Lonchura striata: one gene and its partner. The protein of the gene in region 2 purifies or fractionates together with the protein of the main gene of each other region. This does not show direct contact. Links are inferred from orthologs where the notes say so. Each region holds a gene or a part of one and is shown on either strand. Other genes may lie near its edges.

The links.
Region 1: the proteins of SLC7A11 (region 2) and CD44 purify together in Homo sapiens (affinity purification with western blotting; 3 studies listed by BioGRID and IntAct, with this or other methods). This does not show direct contact. The link is inferred for Lonchura striata from reciprocal best matches to the Homo sapiens genes SLC7A11 and CD44.

The regions. Positions count from the first base shown.
Region 1 is NC_134608.1:43,623,043-43,632,887, reverse strand, and holds the start of CD44 (CD44 antigen), read left to right. Parts: upstream 1-5,482; 5' UTR 5,483-5,594; coding exon 5,595-5,658; intron 5,659-9,845. UniProt on the Homo sapiens protein: Cell-surface receptor that plays a role in cell-cell interactions, cell adhesion and migration, helping them to sense and respond to changes in the tissue microenvironment.
Region 2 is NC_134606.1:73,942,520-73,952,454, forward strand, and holds the start of SLC7A11 (cystine/glutamate transporter), read left to right. Parts: upstream 1-5,635; 5' UTR 5,636-5,666; coding exon 5,667-5,943; intron 5,944-8,518; coding exon 8,519-8,645; intron 8,646-9,935. UniProt on the Homo sapiens protein: Heterodimer with SLC3A2, that functions as an antiporter by mediating the exchange of extracellular anionic L-cystine and intracellular L-glutamate across the cellular plasma membrane.

The sequences.
Region 1 (9,845 bases), on a different chromosome or scaffold from region 2:
CTTTGTGTGTATTTTCCCAGCGAGTTCAGCATTTCCAAACCTAGCACTGCTGTGCCTGTCAGCCTCCTCAGCCTGTTCACGCTATGATGTGTGCACACCTGCACCTTCCCTCCTAGAGCCACACTGGAAACAGCTGAAACTCTTGCCTCTGAAAACAAACATGCTTATTATGGTCTAAAATTAAGATGCTTTTCCTTCCCTTCCACCTTTCAAAGGAATCATAAAAGTGACTAACAAGGAGGCTACTGAAATTTAGTAAGTTTCTGTTTATATACAGATGGGCTCTGGTTTTACTGCTCTTTGTAACTGAAAAAGATAGGGTTAGCTGCTCATTCCCACACTGCTATGTTTAAGACACAGTCTAAATGTGGATATGTTGTGTGTGACTATGGCAAGAGTGGCACAAACATATCTAGTGTGAACAGAAACTGTTCCAGCTAAAATTCGGGGTTTACTTTCGTTAGATAGGAAAATATTTGGCTCTGGTCAGGCCTGTATTAGGCACAAGCGCCCCTAAGCATTTATCTATATATAACAGTTAACAGTTTGGTTATGCAAATATGAAGTGTTTCCTGAGTTTCCTGAATGTTTGCCTTTTGTAAGGCTCACCTGCTCTTCTGGAGCTTTAGATGTTTGATATAATAATTCCAATGTACTGTATGGAACAGAGAATGGATGAGAAAGAATGGGGGCTAAGAAAAAGGAGAAATTAGTGGACATGACAGACAGAAGTCAAGGTAGAAATCACAAAGCAAAATCAAGTAGAAGAAAATGGAAAGGCAGCAGGGACAAAAGAGTACATCCAGAAAGTAGCTTTGCATAAGCTCGATTCACCTCTTGTATAACTGCAAACAAAAGAAATAAAAGTGGGAATACAGAGCTGCATTCCCACTTTCGTTTATTTTGCTCGCGTGTATCCGTTCCAGCACTTCTTGCACGGTGTGTGCCAGCCAGGGGAAGGAGGGGCAGAGGCAGACAGCAGCCACCTGCAGAGAACGCGAGTGTTCTCCCCTCGCTTTCCCCGCACGCCCCACGCCCAGCCGCGCAGCTGCTGCTCACTCGGGCGGTCACGAAGCGCTCTGGTCTCTGCGGCGGGCTGGGACAGCTGGTGGCACTTTCCAGCTCCATCCCCAGCAGCAGCCGAGGGGGGACATGGCATTAGAGCTGTCCGTGGGGACCGGGGTGTGCTTTGCTGCACACGAGGGTCAGCCAGGGACTACGTGGCTGCGGTGGTGCTGCGGACAAGAAAGATGATGGGGCCGCGGACAAGAAAGATGATGGGGCCGCACGGGCTGGCAGGGCTCCTCACAGGCGGCTCGAGCCGTGCGGGCTGCGGAGGTTTCTGCCTGTCTCGGATTCAGGAGTTGTTTAGGGATCTGGGGCAAACCAGTAGAACAGGCTGATGAATCCACACGCTAGGTGCCAATCTGGGTTGCTGCTTTTTTTCGGGAGTAAACAACTAGGAGCCATTGTTCATCTTCCTAACTTTCTGCAGGACACAGGTTGTAAATTACATCCAGGAACAAAAGCTTGATGGGAGTAGAACCGGGCGCTCAACTTCCCAAGGGAGTGCTTTGCCCTCCAGCCAGAAGAGCAGCTTTTCTTGCTTAAACCAGCGCAGGCTCTTCTTAGGGCTTCCCATCAGCACTCAGAGCCCACGAAAAGTGTGCAGTTCAAGATTTGCCACACTGGAGCATTTACAACCGTTGCCATTACAAAGCCTGTTTTCAGGATTGATAATGAAAATTAAATCTACTCTGAAATTGAATCCAGTCTGAAATGCAGGAAACCAGATTGCAGTCTAGAGACATAGAGGAAATATTATTAAAAATAGCATATTTTATTGATATTACGGATAAGTGGGTATGAAATCCTCCCTGCTTCCCCAAATCTGATTTTCAGCCAGTCTCACAGATCACCCGTAGTCTACACAAAACATACACAGCCATGAGCAGAACTACCTAATGACATTTTGCTTTTTTTATATTCACTAAGACCAGTTGCTGTTCAGCTCCCCATAACAAGCTTGAAATATTCACCAAGTTATGCTCATAAACTTCTTTTTTTTATTTCAAAAAATAGTATTTCTGCTGATAATAGAAAAAAATTAAAATTAGGAGATCTGTTTCTTTAGAAATTTTAAGGCTTGAGAAGACAAATGCCACTATTTTCCAGAAACAGAATTCCGTTCTACTCTTCTTTCAATTTCTTCCATTCAATAGTGAAATCAATCTCCATTTCTACTCTTTTTTTTCCATCATAAGTACAGGTTCATTCAGGTACATCCATTTTCTTGTCTGTCCACAAAATAAAATCTAAATATTCATTCTAGGGAGAGGCTGTGTCACTGAGTTCAGTGGAATTTTGTTCTTTCAATTAAGCTAGGCCAGAATTTAATCCTCTATGTGAATTCCTGCAAAAAAAACCTACTTCTTATATAGTTGTAAGCTATGCATGTTACTTTTCTAGGACTCCAATATATGTACTTCCTAGTAGGAATTTTATCAAAATTAATTAGTGCTGGCTACAGTTCACATATGTGATAAAATCACAAATGAGTTATTTTGGTGTTCCTGTGCTATATTATACCATCACAGATTCAGTATTCGCAGTATCAAAGATGTCACAGAAAAACACTCTTTTAAATTCTAGGGTTTTATCCTTTTTCAGTCTTATTGTTTCATTTTCTTTTGAAAACTTAATTCATTAATCATTTTACAAAATTTTGGTGTCAGTAGTTTAGCTTCTTGTTGCCAAGGAAGTAAGCAAATTCCGGATCTCAGATATTTAGCAGTACTGACAGGCTCAAAAGGGATGCTCTGCTGCATTTTTTCAGCTGAAGATTTGCTTCAGGATTTTTCTGTTCCTATGTAATACGGTTTTCCCAAACTAAAGGAGAAGTTACGTATTTCTCACAAAGAAATCCCCCAAACAAAACCAAAACAAACCCTGAAAAACAAACCTCCAAACCCAACAGTTTCTCCAGAATTGTACATCTGCTTTGACTAAACCTTCTGGGCAGCATTTTGCCCTGCAGCCAGGCTAAATTTGGACTGCTGCTGGCTACCTGAGACCAACATAAGCTGACCATGTTTGTGTGGGAAAACAGGAAATTTTTTGTGCCATTTTTTTGGTGGAATGCACATGTGTGTTCTAGGCTGCCATGTAGGCAGGCTGATGGCACAAAGAATGGCCAAACTCACATGTCCCATACAAACAGCTCATTAATTGTTTTTGTGATTTATCACATGAAATGATGTAAAGTTATCAATTATTTTTCTTGTGTAGATCTATCTTTTCCTTTTGCATGAGGTACTAGCACCTCCATGCTGTGGTCTAAATGTGTCTAATCTTAGCCCAGTTTTTCAGGGCAACAACCCTGAGAGTCTTTCCAAAGCAGAATACCACCCACCCTTGCTGAACACATGCAGAAATTATTGAAAAGACTGAGATGAATAACAACTAATATTTTGGTATCTAGAAAACAACCTTTACATATTCAGTTGTCAGAAGGGCTATAGAATTAGAAACTTCACACCATGAAGAGACCAGGAATTTCCACTCCTAGTTATCTAAGATTCTGCCTCTATCCCTAAAATGGATGTTATTCTCCCTTTACCTGTACCAAAGAAAACTTTTATTTTTTTTTTAATTCTGTATCATTATAAATACAGGATATTAATGGAGAGTCATTTTATGTTCATAAAAAATAGGACTCAAAATTTCCTAAATTTAAATGAAATGTTTAACTATTCTGTTTCATCCATAGGACATGAGTTTTAAAAGTAACTTAGCAGTTGAAGAAAAAGATATACTTAGTAAATTTAAAGCATTTGTTAACTGTGTGCCAGCATTTTGAAATCCCACTAATCTTTATTCATGGATTTTGATGCCAAAACATTTACAGATATAAATACACAGGATTTTACAGAACTATTTATCTTTCCACTTTAGACAATAACGTATATAGGAGATTGCTTTCTAATTGGTTTTAAAGCCATTTCTTTAAAAAAATAAAAATAGCATATTAACTAAAGAAAAGGTGTTTTATCCATAATTTCAAAGTTGCTAGCTTCATAATAAAAATATACCCTGTGTTTAAAGGAAAAATTTTTACTTTAACTTTGTCCCATCAGATATTCTAGACCTGTAGGAAAAGCCTGTTGGAACCTGTTGCTAAAAATTTGCCTGGTTGAGGAAAGGATAGCCAGCCATCTCTAAGTCAAAAGGCAAAACAAAGGCAAAGTCCTGAAAACCTCTTTATGTGACCTTCTTCTGCTTGTGGCTGGAGATACTTGTCTGTATTTTTCCACTGTTTGTGTTAACAGAGATTAAATTAATGAGAAACTTCTTTCAAGTGGGGAGATCAACAAAATGGTAATCTGATATAGGACTATTCAATCCAGATTTGGCAAGGGAAGCTGAAATCCAGGCATTTATGGCTGTTAAAGGTGAGAAGTGCTGGCTTTGGTGATCCCTGACCAACCCCTCATCCCAGGGCACAGGAACCACTGTTCCAATTCTTCAGCTCTAAGAGAAGCCAGTGCATGGAGCCACCACAGGAAATCTCCAAGGCACACAAGAGACAAGAGACAAGCCTTTTGCTTATCTACAGAGGCTTTGGGGTTTTCGCCAGAGGTTTCATGAAGAGCCAAACAAAACCACACACTGCAATGAACATATGTCCCTCAGGAACTGAGACCTTGTTTGAACCTCAAAAATCTCGTAACTTTTCATCCTGCTTCTCTGCTTTCTGAATTGGGAATAGGAGGAAAAATTCCTTCTGTACCTTATTCCATCAATAGAATAAATATCAGCCTTAGTGCTCAGCATCACTCACTTCTGGCACTGGCATTATTCACTACTTTTTGTTCATTCATTTCTCTTCTTGGAGCAGCGTGTGCAGGGACACCAAGGGTAGAACGGGCTGTGGGAAACTGAACAGCCTCAACTTACCTTCTGCATGATGTTATCCTCCAGCAGTGAACAAAAACATTGCAGAAAGCTTCACTGCAGAGCAGGCATTTTACTTGCTCTTAATAGAACCGCACAAAGAGAAAATGGCAAGATAGGAATAAATAAGCAAAATGTTTTTGGAAAATATCTAGGCTGATAAGATGCTTTACCAGGGTTTAGAAACTCGAATGCTTTTATGTTCACTTGGTTTGCAATAATGAAGAGATTTTAAAATGCAGGATGAAATGCTTATAACAAACAGTGCATTTCTGAGAGAACTCAGGAGAGATGACACAAATTTTCCTACAAGCACACTAAGTATAACTTTTGACTAGCCTAGTGTAAGAAGAGAAGGTTTAGTGGCTCTTTAAAACTCAAGTGTGCCTGCTTAGTCAGTCCTAGCTCTCCTTCCACTCCCCCTTCTTCTGCTGCTGGGTAACTTTTGTTGCAATATGGGTGTGACTTTTGATGGAGCTTCCCCCTCCCAGTTATGTCATTACTTCAGTTCCTTTGAATCAGAATAAAAAGTGCAGCAAACTTCAGACTCATTGACTGCAGGCTTAACAAGCGTTGGTGCTTTCCTTCCTTCTGCAGCTTGCAAGGATCTTTGGATTTTGCAAAACAGTTCTAAGAAAACAATGGCCAACTTCTTACGGACAATTTTTGGATTATTTTTGCTGAAGCTCTGTCTAGCAGAAACAGGTAAGATTTTTATGAATGAAAACTCTTATGATTGTTAAGTTAATGCTTCAGACAGCAAGTGTGCTTCTGCTAGATAGCTAACAGCTTTCTTGCATCTATAAACTTTACTTATTTCAAGTGTTATCAGAGATGTTTTAGAAGTGTAATCTCAGTTGTGCTGGTCTGTACAAGCACGGAAAGCTGCGTATTGCTTGTAAAGGGCAATTCCAAATATGTAAAAACTGAATTGTAGAACATTAAAGAACGAAGTTTAAATTAGGAACAGAACTCCATCAGGGAATTCGGAATGGCTCTGGTAAAGCTCAGTTTGACAATGTGACTGCTGTTCCACACGCAGTTTTTTCTCCCAGCTCCTCTTCGGACGGCAGCGAAAAGGGGGCGGAAGGAAGGGGGTGAGCCCCCACCCCCCATCCAGTTTACAGCTGCATTCTGGAGTTTACATGAGCTGAACCAACAGCTGAAACAAGCTGCATTTGGGCACAGCCTTGCTGAACAGGAGAAAAACTGCAGGGAGCTCTGCTGAAATTTGGAGAGCTTTTATGCCAAGCATGCTTGCTTCTGACTTTCTAAGGTCTCTGTGGGGCTGACTGATGAGCTTTTGGAACAAAGGGGGTTAGAAGGGACAAAGTTCAGCTGTTTATCACTTACCTTCCTGTAGCTTGGTTATCTGCTTCAAATATTTGTATTTAAGTATCTAAGGTTAATACAGAGAAAAAAATAAAAAAATTATGTCCAAAGTGACAAAAAGCTTTTGAAATTTTACATGGTGTAGGCTCAACCATGTTTTAGGGGAATGACCATACTTTTAGCAGACTCTCACTGTGACTGTAACTGCCTCGAGGCATTTTGTGGTTGGGGATAACAGTTGTGCTTCTGTATTGTTTTTGTACTCATCAGTTTCAGGAGTCTAACAAAATGCATTTTTCATGACCATCGTCACCCAGGGCCGTGTGCGTGTCTGTGTATGTACAGTAAATATGTGTCTCATTTGCTTGAGCAGCAGGGGATACTTCTGTTAATGGTTGCAGCGCTGCCAGGCTGTGAATGGGTGTGTCAGAGGGAGCAAGTTCCCAGTGCTTCTGTGATAGCTGAAGCAGCCTCATAGCTTTTCTTCCTAAAATTGTGTGTCCATTGTATCAAAATGCTCTTGCTAAGATGAGGTTTATAGGCAAAGTCTTAAGAGCAAGGACAGGGCTGCTCTAGGCAAGTAAAGTATGTCTAAGATAAGTTTAAATCCTTGGCTTGGTCCACGTCTGTGCACTGTGTAAATAACTGCTTGACTGATTTTTACTTCTATGAGCTGCCTGAAGTGTCCTAGAGAGCAGGGTCTGCACTGACTCTGGGAGTAATGTGTTTTTACAGTGAGACAGAAAGCCCCATTATTGAGCCATCAGTGTAGTTACAAAAAGTGTGTCAAGCTCCACATATGCCCTCCAGGGAAGTTTCTTTACTGGCTTAGTAAGGTACTAGAATATAGCTACAGTATATTTAAGTTGGTATACAGTACATTCCAGCATGACTTTTTAGTCAGTAATTATTTCAAAACAGCAGTTGATGGTGGTGTTTTCTATTTTTAGCCAGTGATTTTGCTGTGTATCACAGACTAATGGCTATTGATGCTGGGAAACTCCTGAACTGGAATTTTGATTCTTTTAGTACAGAATTGTACAGAATTAAAAAGGACCTGGAATTACTGTTAATGTGATTTCAGAAGGAAAAATGAGATACAGAGAAAGCTGGAAAACTTACTCATCCTGATTTCTGTGCTGTTGTGACTATACTGTCACTGATATGTTTCTTACTCATAGTGTTGACATGACTTGTTTAAGGAGTCTGGATCCCAGAGAATATAGATGCTGACATCTTGGTTAATGATGTTTTGCAGGAGATTTTCTCCTGCAAACATTATGTATTTGTAGAAATATTTTTCTTAAAGTTTTCCTTGATTAATACAAATCCTAGAATTTTGACCCCCAAACTGGAAGGGGTGGGGCGCAAGAGAAGAGAAGTAGTAGTGGTAAGCATGAAATGGAAAGAGGGACAATGAGTCTGCCTGTGGGAGGAAGGAGCTTACCTGTTAGCACTGGAGAGGTTGCCAGAGCCCATTCCAAGGTAATGCTGTGAGACAGGGCTCCTGCAGCTGCTGGTCAGTCACAGAGGAAGAGACCTGCCTGCCCCTTGGTTTACATATCTATCATGTAAATTTGTAAATAAAGTAGTTTGAAGAAGCTCTTTGTGCTAGTTTATTTTCACTCGGTCCTTGCAGTGTCTATCTTGGCAGTTTCCCAAAGCTATAAAGTAAGGAGACTTTATTAAGAGTTCACTTGAACGTTCCATCATTGTTTAGTGGAAGGGTTATGGAGCTGTCCTGGAAACACTCGCACACGCAGAGCCAACAAAGCATGGTGGGGGATTGTTTTCGAGAATTTGGAGAAATGTTTGAAGATTCTTTAGGTACTGGTGTTCACCACAATGAAGAGCCATTACCTTGAAAATAGGAAGTCGGAGAAAGGCTTAATGAGGACAGATAGCATCGGACAATTGAGGAAGAACTTTTTAAAGTAAATGCTTTTAAAACCACTGATAGCTCTAGCCAAAGTTAAACAAAATGTTCATTCATATGTGGTGTATCTTTCTTTCCAGAAGAGTTCCCATTACTTTTATAGGTCTGAATTGAAGATAGTGTGAATATTGCAGTTATTCATCTATCACCTAAACATGCATGAGGTTTGACTGTATCAAGAATGTGCCAGGAGCCAGAGACATCATGACATGCTGTGATAGACAGATACACACCAAAGAGAATCATGAGCTCATTACGCCTAAAATACTTGTTGAAAAAAATGTGATAATATTTGATAATACTAGTTCTTAATGTAGTTGACTGATAGTAAAACACCTTGTAGAAGAGCAGAGAAAAAGCAATGTAGAGTTCCTTTATAAGGAGCAGATAAATCAGTCAAAGAATTTAAAAGTTTTTTGGTGTTCCAAAGCTGTAAAAAGGTTACTCCATCTGCTTTCTGGTCTTCTTGCATCATGTTTTTGTTCCAGAACTAAGGGGTAAGTGTTTGAAAATACAGTCAATATGTAAGATGATCATTCTTCCCTTCATATATCACTGTTTGGTCTTTATTTTCAAGAGAATACTATGTAAGAGAGCAAGGGAAGGAGTTCTGCAAAACTCGTCTCTAAAATTGGTCTTTCAGGACCAAGGCTAAATGTATGTAATTATCTGTGAACTATAACTTCATAGAGAGGATAATTGTGAAACAAACATGACCCATCACAGTAATCTTGCCTACTTTGAAAACAATGCAACATTGCACTGGAACAATTAATTGTGTTCAAAACACATCATATTTTAGAATCAGCTGGCATCTGGCAGTGTGCTGATTCAATTTGTCAGCATTAAGCTGAATTCTGAAAATAGAGAGATGGAAACTTACAACTTGCTAGCAAGTAGAACACATCCACAGCCTAGTTTGTTCTTTGCCTTTACCTGTCAGGGTTTCTGTGTGATAAACCTGGTGGTTTGGACCATTCTCTGCGTGTTATCCACGACTGTGGGCGGGAAGCCAGTTTGGTGTAGCTGCTGGTCATTTTCCAGGAGTCCATCATCTCTTAACAGACAGTCATCTCTCCCTCCCAGAGAGGCAATAATAATTTCAAAGCTATCAGACGCTGTAATTATCAGTGGCCATGATAGGTGCTGCTAATAGCAGTGGCAGAGAGGGTTGTGTCGGTGCTGTGTATTTATCATTTCCTCCCCGCAGTGCCTGGGCAGTAATATCAGTAGCAGCTGGCTGTGATTTCCCTCCCTTGCCGGAGCTGCCCCCGCCCAGGGGCGGCAGAGCAGCTCATGCTATGAATGAGTCTGCAGGCTGTAATGTCAAGTGAAGGCTGAGGAAAAGAGGGGATTTTCCTTGGAGAATCTTTCCAGTCAGACAGAAAGTTCAGCTAATTGCAATTTAAAGTTCAAACCTCCATGACTGTTTCCTGCATAACTAAACCTGCAGTCATTTTTTGAGTCTGTGCTTTCAATTAGGAACATAATTGAACTTTCTTTTGTAAGCAATGGCTTTGGGACTTTCCAGTTCCTCTACATGAGAACACTGGCAACTTTATGTAATGCAGCTGGCTTATTTTGGTACAATAACCTTTAATTCTCATATTGTGAAACATTAGAA
Region 2 (9,935 bases):
GTGGAATTAAGGAATTGGGATCTGAAAGATTTCCACACTTACTGGTCAGTAAATTAAAACACTGTTTAAGTTCTTGAATTCTCCTCTCCAAGATTTTGTATAGATTCTTCTCAGAACAGAATTCAGCAGCTGTCATACCTGTGAATAAGTATCATTAACCCTTTAATAAAAAAGAAAAATATTATTTTTAGCATAAAACCATAATTCACAGAAAGTTCAACATCTAATCAAATAGAGTAATGCAAATGGAAAATGATACTGTATGAATTGTATGAAAAATATTATAAAAGTGAATATGGACTTGCTAAAGAGCCAAGGTTAAACTTGACAATCTATGCAGTTGTTGTAGGTTTTCTTCACATTACAAACTTTTATTTACTGTGAAGAATTCTCCCACAAAAAACGGGGAAATGGGTTAGAAAACATTCTCACTGCTAATTCTGTCTTTATCTGGGTTTTTCAAAGATTTGTTTTTTCTGAAGTACCAATTAATTCTCTTCACATGCCCAGCCTAGCCTGAGTCATCTGAAATAAAATCCCGACTCTCTGAAGCTGCCAGCAATCTTGCCATCATGCTAGGTATCTGGCACATGCATTTTTAATGGAAATTTACCCTGAGGTCTTGATTTCCTGAGTGCCAGTGTGTGCATCCAAAAGCTGAGGAAAAATAACATGGGGACTCTGAAAATTATTGTCTCATTCTGCTAATTGGAAATACAAACACAGAGAAACTCAAAAATAATATCTATGTACAGCATTGCTTAGATTTTGATAAGATATAGCCTGAATATGAAAAATGGATTGGTATAAAACACACTCATATTTTCACATCCACAGGGCTTCAGTGAGAATTGGCTTTCTCTCATGTGGAGCTTTCATGCTTGATGCAAGGTGCTAATGATTCCTGTCTGCTTAAAAAAGACCCATTAAACTGTCAAACCATTCAGCTAAATTCATCATGTCTTTTGAAATAGAGCTTTAATAGTGAGAAAAATTGAGAGATTTCTGAAATCCCTTTTTCTTTCCTTCTTTTCAAGCTGAAAATTGACTGGCAGCTATCAGCAAATTGAAGACAGGGAAACTTTCAGAAGCATTTGCCTTCTAAACTGCTCTTGCTTGCAGTCTTCTTGAGATCAGATTTTTATTTGCTTCCTGCATTTTGTAGGAAGGTTTTGACTGAGAATACAAGAAAAAAAAAATATTTGAATTGCTTTTGGATTTCTTATAGTGGTTTTATCTTATTTTTAAAATCTGTGAGCTGCATGTGTCTTTCATTCCTTCTCATTTTTTCTTTCGCTGCAAAATATGTTTGTATCCAGCACAAAGTGGAATGCAAAAGAATTGAGGAATTTGTTAGACTCTGACTACAAAATAACAAACCCCCCAACATTCTCAGTAGTTCCATTTTAAACTAAAGATTTGGCCTGTATTAGAGATAACAAAGTATTTTGATATTCTCACAGTACTATGTTTGTATTAAAACTTTAAAAACTGTCCCAGTAGTCTGAGATTTTAGTTATTTCATATTCTCAATGACACCTTATTTTTTAAATGCTTATGGATTTTTTCCCCCCAGTACTAGCTAAACTTCTCAACACTAAAATAGGAGCTGAAATCCCCAGTCAAAACTACTCAGTGTTAGATTATCTACATGAAACAAATACTTTTAGGTATTTTGTCATCCTTTGACATTTGAAACCAGACTAGTGCCTTTCTGCAGGGCTGCTTTCTGAAGCTCACAAACAACTTGGCATTATACACAGAAGACTCAGATCAGTTTTCTAAACAACATTTTTCATGCCATGCCACCCACGTGTAATAGTCTGGGGCTTTCCTCGCCTCTTCAGTCTTGCTGAACTTCCTCTTTTATTTCTGTGTCTCCAGTCAGCATGGCAACCTGTGGCTGGAGGCTTGACTCGTGACTCTTTGGATTTGTTTGATGCAATAAGCTGATAGCCAAATGCCTGGAAACGTTGTCAAGGTATGCTCTCTACATCTAGAAATTATGGAGTTTTTGTGGGCTTGAGAATTGGGAACTCAAGGTCAGGATTGGACTTTAGGTTCTCCACTTTGCTGCATTCGTTGCGGCATTACCATAAAGTTGAATGCTTTAGTTCAAAATGTGTATTTTGTAGCATTCCCCAGGGGAAATGCCAGAACTGTTGCTTCTTTGGAAAGATACAGCTGTGTCCAGATGCTGGCAAAAACTCTGTTAGTGTGATAGGCAGGGGTAACACCCTATTAGGTGTGTTCAGCCTGAGGTATTGTTATTCCCTGTGATGCTCAAACCCTGACAAGAGAGATGCAGCTGGCCAGGAGAGGCCACTGATGGCATTCAGGCAACCAGCCTGGGCTGCTGAATCTTCTGCCTGATGCTTTAGCTCTTTGCAGGGTGTAGGTGTAGGATTTGTAGGCTTTTCTGGTAAGGATTTTTTGTTTGGAACAGCCAGTGGATAGATTGATCAGGGCTGGTGGTGAGATTCAAAAGGGAACTTTCACAGCGATGATCTCAGTTGTGCTCTAAAATGTTTGTTCAGGAGAAAATGTCTATGGGTTGGAAAAAAAAAAAATAACCAGAGAGAAACAATAAAAAGGCTATGCACAATGCCAGATGCTATTAGAGGTTGAAGGTTTATTTTCAGAACATATTTTTTAGAAACATGGCTTCAAATAATGTCATCAGTCTAAAGAAAATTGCACCTTTTACATTTTTGTTCTGCTTTTATAGTGAGTTTTTATGGAAGAATGGGGTTGTTCTGAGTGTTGGACAGGTTAAGCCCTGTGCTTTCACAAAAGCTCTTTGAAAAGACACTGAGCATTTTTTGTTGTGTTTGCATAGTGGTCCTCTCTCTGTGATGAATAATTGAAGTAAAAGTGGCTGTGAGATACAAATAATAAGAAGAGATGTTGTGAGTATAGTTTAAGTGGGTTCAGCAGACAGTTATGACCCTCTTCCAGCTTCATGACCTCCTCAGGACTGAGCTCAGTTGATGGATAATTCTCATGAAATTCCCAGAATATAACGAAAAATCCCCCAACACCAAATAAGTATTCCTTATCCTGAGTGGAACTAATAATTGGAAGTAAGGCTGGAACTCAAAGGAGAAAAGCTCCCATTTTTCTTATTTTTAGTGGATAGCATTGAGAAGCTGTGAAGAATAAGTAAACAAACATACTCCCTGGGAAGGCTACAAATAATGAGATCTCCAGCAAGCTGCCAGAAGTTAGGAAAAGGAGTTTTCTGCAACCAGCCTTCTTCTGGTCCTACCTTATAAATTTCCCTGGGAATGACACAAAGCCCTAAGCTTTGCCTGTGTGCTATCCCCACACCACTGAAGGAACAAGCACCCTTTTCCCTGCGTGGGAGAGTGTTAATTGCTATGCCCAAAGGGGAAACATGGATTCTTCTGGCTAGTAATCAAATGCTATTTGAAAGCCATTATAGTGCCCAGGATTTGTACTGGATGGTTGTTACAGACAACTGGCTTGCTGGGAGCTGCCTCGGGGTTGTCTGGCTATTGAGCCTTTGGTTTGATCTTGGAACCAACTTCCTGTGCAAATAAAGACATTAGTTAAGAATGTCTACCTTAAAGTATCAGATGTTTGAAGATGTCATGCGCTTCTTCATTAAAAAGCCTTTGAAAATTAAAATAAAGGTCACCAGCCCAACTCAGTTCTCTGGTTAATGCTTTTTGCTGGTTTGATTTGATCCAGTTGCCTAATCCTATTGGGGGGCAGCCTGTGGAACGTGCAGCCAGAGAAAACATCTTGGCACAACACGCCACCGAGTCCTGGCTTGGCTTGTCACTAGTGCCACGGGAATTGGCTGGGTTGGGACTGTGGGGTGACAGGGAAGGTCCTGTCTGCAATCAGCCTGTGCAGTCACATGTGGGATCAGCTGCCAAGTGAGGGATCAGCCACTGAGCACATCAGCGGCTGGAAGCACAAGTAGGATATGTTCAGAAAACCAGACAAGCACTACTTGACTGTCATGCAGCCAGAAGCTGCAATCACTTGGTTTTTTTACCTGTGTGCATTTAAACCAGATAAGCTTTCTTTTCTGCCTTCTTTCATCTCAGTGCTAACTGTTACAGGTGAGTTATAGCTGAAAATATGAGGCTTTAAAAACACTCAAGTTTGACAGCTGCAGCATGTCGCTAGTCCAGTATTTCTTCTTTCTCACATAAATTTGAAAGCACATTTGTGCTCTGAGCTCAGTGCCTTCTTTTTGAAGGATAAAATGGTTTAACTGATCTTCTTTTTACTCCCAAACCTAGGTACTAATTAAGCAATACCTGTAAGAGCAGTAACTGTAGCAATAACCTCTCACTACGCTGATCTAATCTGGAACTATTAGCAGCTGCAATAGTTATACCGCTAAGAATTTTCCCCCTTTGGCATATGTTATAAAGGCTGTCCCTTGATTAGGTCAAAAAATGCTTGGAGGCTATTGATTTTTGCTCCGTTTTAGGAGAAAGCACCTCAATTGCTCAGTTTGAATTTGAATGATCGTGCCAAGCAAATGTATTTATGCATCCGATCACCTGTTTATCTGGTCAGAGGAGCTCTGCGGATTTTTGTGTTATCGGGGACGACACAAAAAAGCCATTCTGACTCCTGAGCTGTTGGAGATGCTGTGCTCTGGGGTGGTGCCCTGCTCCTGCCCGGTCACACACGGGAGGTGGCTGCGAACTTTTGCGGCGCATTTTAACAAAAAGTGATGCGGGGCTGGCTCCCGGCATCCCGGAAAAAGAGCTGCCCCTAAGAAAATGCCTTTTCCATGGAAATAAGCTGAGTAACTCGGGGTAACACCGGGGCTGTATGGATCCTTTCTGGTCCCTACAGAGATTTCCAAATTAATAATATAGTCGTGGGAGAGGCGGATCAACCGCGGCGCTGAAAGTTCAGCCCCCGCAAACGGAACTTTTGTTGGGAGTTTTTCGAGAATGAAATTGGATTAGACCCAGGGATGACGTATCTTGTTTGATTTCTTTTCCTCGTGCTCTGACGAGCTTTGTGTTTAGGCAGGCTTTTGTTTCTGGCTCTGAGCTGCTTTTAAAAAAATTGGGAGCGTGTCTTGGGTGATAGGCTTGCATTGATTGGGGAGGTTTGGCTCGAGTTGCTGGCGAGTGCTTTGTTCTTCTCACCACCCCCAGGTCAGCTGCACAACATGCCCCTACAGTTTAAAAATGAGAAAAAAAAAAAAAAAAAAAAGGAGGAAAGAAAAAAAACCCCAACAACCAAAAAAAGAAGAGGAAGGAAAAAAAAAAAAAAAAGAAATGCTGAGTAATGCCAGAGGTTTCTCAAATGGCTGATGCAAACCTGGAGAATTTGCATCATCATTCAGCTGGAGTAACTTGGTATGACAAGAGCTTAAATACAAGTCCATGCGGAAGCTGAGCTGGTTTCCAATGATAGGGCAGTACCACGGTGTGGAGACGCAGGTGTTCCTGTGCTGGGCTGGGATCACAGGAAGGGCTCACCTACTCTTGAAGAACTTGTTACCTGTGTGTAGGAGCAGCTGGAGAGATAAAAGAAAACAGAGGAAGAGACAAAGTAGTTGGCTACACAGAGAGGGGAAAAAAAAAAAAACAAAACAAACCTTCAGTTTCTGCTGAAAACTTTTCTGCCTGTGCTTGCCAGCAGCGTGCTGGTGGCACTGTAGCATGTTCAGGAAAGCTGCTGTGCCCACGGTCTCTAATGGAAGCTACTTGCAGGGACGAGCTAATGGCAAGTTGTCCTCTATGGACAGTGGACAGCCAGCCCGGGAGGGAAAAGTTGTGCTGAAGAAGAAAGTGACGCTTTTGAGGGGGATATCCATCATAATTGGCACTATCATTGGAGCTGGCATCTTCATCTCTCCCAAAGGCATCCTGAAGAACACAGGCAGCGTGGGCATGTCCTTGACTGTCTGGACAGTGTGTGGTATCCTCTCGCTTTTTGGTAAGTCCCTGAAAAGTTTCTAATTGGTCTAGAGGGGCAGCCGGCGAATTATTGTGATTATTTCTCTGATTTTACTATTGGATAGGAAGTGAGAGTGCAGAGCTTGAGCGCCAATGGGACTACAGAAGGTCTGTGCTTCGCGATGGATTTGTGGAGGGTGCAAAAATTTCAACCTCTGTCCCTCTGCTCCCAGCACCAGCTGGTGAAAGCTGGAAGCACTTTTTTTTTTTTTTTTAATGAGTCCCTAAAGGAACAGAAAAACCAAACGAGCATTTTTTTCCCCTATAGAATGTGCTGTATGTTTTTCTCCTGTAAGATGTATTTATGGTTTGCATGTGAAGCCCTGGCAGCTGGATGAGCACGCTGCTAGATCACCACTGAAATGTTTAGACAGCTCAGCCTAGTTCCCCAGAGGCTAGAGCAAGGTCTGAGAGGAATAATTCCTACTGTATGTAAGCTGTATTGCATGAAGGGGAGCAAAACAATAATACTAATAACCCCTCTTCCCAGCCCTTCCTTCCTCACCTGTGATGTTGCTTTGAAAGATTGGGCTACAAAAAAACCAGTGTGATGGAAGCAAATCTGTCCTGGGAGTTTTATTACTGCTTATTGTGGCAGTTTTTGTTAATTCTTTTTATTCTTGAAGAGTGTTGAATTCTGGAGAAGTCCAGTTAAGTTGTTCTGTACACAAAACCCTCATTCAGAGTGGAAAACCCCACCCTGGCCTCCGTGGGACAGAGGGCTCATTGACCTATTTAATGAGTTAATCTCAAAGAAACTGAAGAACTAACATGAATATTGGCTTTATTTAAAAGGGAAACTGCTTGTTTACTGGCAGGAGGTGAAGAGGACAAAGAGGGACTAAGTGTCTACTTAATAGGTGGAACATGCAAATGCCACCTTGTAAATTGGTGCTGAGCTTAAAAGAAATATTCTTTACAGGCTAAACCCATCCAGGCCAAACAAACAGTCGAGTTAGCTGGGACCCATTTGGGTCAAATGATAAATGTATGGGTACAATGTGCAGCATAATCTCTTGTACAAATGTGGAAGATCTGCCTGCAATAAAATTCTCCTCCTTTCTCTAAGCAAGAAAAACCTCAGATCCAATTCGTAACCCTGTCAAAAGACCTTGGTCATTTGAGTTACTTAACCCAGAATTTGCTTAAGCACTGCATTTATGGCTATAACTTAAGTAGTAGTAATCTTCTGGCTGTGAAATAAAGTGTGTACCAAAAAAAAAAAGAAAAGAAACCCCAACCCCACAAAAAACCAAATCAAAATAAAAAAAACCCATTCTCTTTTATCAGATTTTTAGGTCCCTTTCCAGACATCTAGATACGAAGAACTGTGTAATTTGGCACAGCCAAGGATAATATCTTGTTCTCACAATGGGCCTGTTACAGTTTGTTTGTTTTTTGGTTGTTATTTTTTTGGTAATATTTTGATTTTTAGTTCTCTTCATGACTCAGTTATAGTTAAATCACACAAAGAGGTCACATAAGATCTTGCCGAGGCTGTGTTTATAACATATATTAAAACACAATTTCATTTCATCCTGAACCTCAACAGAAGAGGCTGGCAAAAGAAAATGCCAAAACACCTTTTTTTTAATGTGGCTGTAAGGATTCCTTTAAACACATCTTCAGGTATGTTAAAGAAAAGCAGATAAAAGTTGCCACATTTTTGCAATGTCCCGAACAAAAGAAATGAACAAGGCTGGAGAATTTGTCATCATGTGCTACAGCTTTGATGGGCTTGTACAGGTGATGTGGTTTTGATAAGTTGTAGTTTTTATCTAAAAGTGCTGCAGCGTAGAGGCATGCAGGGAAGAGAGCTGAAATGAGTTCATGTGTGATTCATTGCTAACAAACTTTATTCCTGATTATTACTGGCTTCTCAGAGTCTTCCAAGAGGGCTGCCTCTGTTTGTTGGTTGTGGAGCACTATTGATGTGTTCCACCTGTGGAGCTGTGAATCCCTGGCTTTGTAACTCAGTGATGGTTCCTGACCTTTCGCTGCATTTGCAGGACACAAAACAATCCACCAGTTTTGAAAAGCTGCCACTAAGCCATCCCCTGAGTTTTGTATGGAAGATGTTAGGAGTACCGTTGAGGAGAATTCTTATTCTGCAGATCCTTCTTCCAAATTTTGGCCATTTGTTTGCTTTTGACTATGGTTGAGGAGAGGTGATACAATTTCAGAGATTGAGCCAGGCATCTCTAAGGCTGAAAGGAGTAGATCAGCCTTTGATAACAGGCAAAGATGTCAGAAATCTTTCATTTAGTGGTGCTGCCTGGGAAGTAGGGTGGCTGGTGTGAAACCCCAATTTGTTGTCCCTCTTCACAAGATATTGAGTAGTAATTGCAAATAGCTCGTCCAGTGGCTTTAAATATAACTAGATAAATAGTTTGGTTTACTGCATGTCTGGCTGATTGAATTAAAGTGTAGAAAATTAATTGGAAAAAAAAATATTAAAAGTAGTAGTGATACCATGACAGCTCTATAGTTTAGGCTATATATTTTGATATATATTTCTGGATATCTCTCATGTTGGTGTTATTGAATTCTCACAGGTGCCCTCTGCTATGCTGAACTAGGGACGTGCATTAAGAAATCTGGTGGTCACTACACCTATATCCTGGAGGCCTTTGGCCCATTACCTGCATTTGTGAGGGTCTGGGTGGAACTACTCATCATTCGGTAAGTGTGTCATGACTCTGCACTTGTCAGTCATAAAGAAAAATCTCTGATATATGTTGGGCAGAAAAAAAAAAATCAAATATATTTTGGTCAGTTAACTGTGTTCTTCCACTATGATTGCTTCAGAGAGTTTAAAAATGCTGTTCTGCTCATCAGCTTTGAAATGTTCAAGGAGACATGTTTACATACATGGGGAAATAAGAAATCTACCACAAAAATTCAATAAATTGCCTTAGTTTTGCTAAGCTTACTATGTCCATTGAAGTCATTAATAATGTTGTTAGCTATACCTAGATATGGTAGAATGAAAGACAGAAGTCACCTTTACCTTTTTTCAGTCTTGGCACTACCTTCTGGAGCAATTACTGTTGTCTATGGATACAAGGATAACTCCTGGTGAAATTATTGTCCAGTAGTTTTTCAGAGTTAGGGGCACCATGTATGCTTTTGATGTCAGATTGGGCCCTGATTTTTTTGGGTTTTTTTGTGGAGTGTTGGAGAACGTGACTCTTACTTTGGAAAACACTAACTGACCAAATAAAGAAACACTGTCTTCACATACCTAAAATGTCCAAATATATTGCATTGGTGTGCAAGCCTGCGACTCATGCAGCCTTTGACATTACAATACAAAGATGCTGAATCATATAAAATAAGCTTTCATAATGTAAACGGATCAACGCATCAAACCCACGTGTAGCTTCTCTTTTGTTTTTAGGCTTTTTCTGAGTTTGGAGATCTTGAAACACATAGAACAGGGCAACTTGGAATTCAAAATGACTTTGGGAATGCTCCATGCCCCTGCCTTAGGCGCTTCTTTCCCCTCTTCCGCAATCAGCAGATTAGTCACAAATGAGGCACAAGCAAGGCTTCAAACCACAACTACGTTTACATAACACTGACAAGTCCTAGCAGACACCTTGACTTTAAAAGTGCTGACGGTGCTGAGTCATTATGAATCCATAAATCCTTGTGTTGTTTCCAGAGGAAATAATTTTTCCATTTCAGGTTGTCCAGCACGACCTCCCCACCAATATGTAACTTCTCAATTAATGGCATAATTTCCATCAAGTGTGGTGAAAGGGCAGATGTCTCAACTGTGTGAACCTTTTGCCAAGAAGGAAAATCAGGCAGTGGAATGAGACCCATGTTTTCACAGGTCTCTGTGAACAGCTATATCATTTCACATCAGAGAAGCAACAAAAGGGAACAGTATTAAAAATCTCCCTCTTAACCTGCATCTTTTTCGGCAGAGGCAACTTATTAACCTAGACGCAAACACCCACAGGA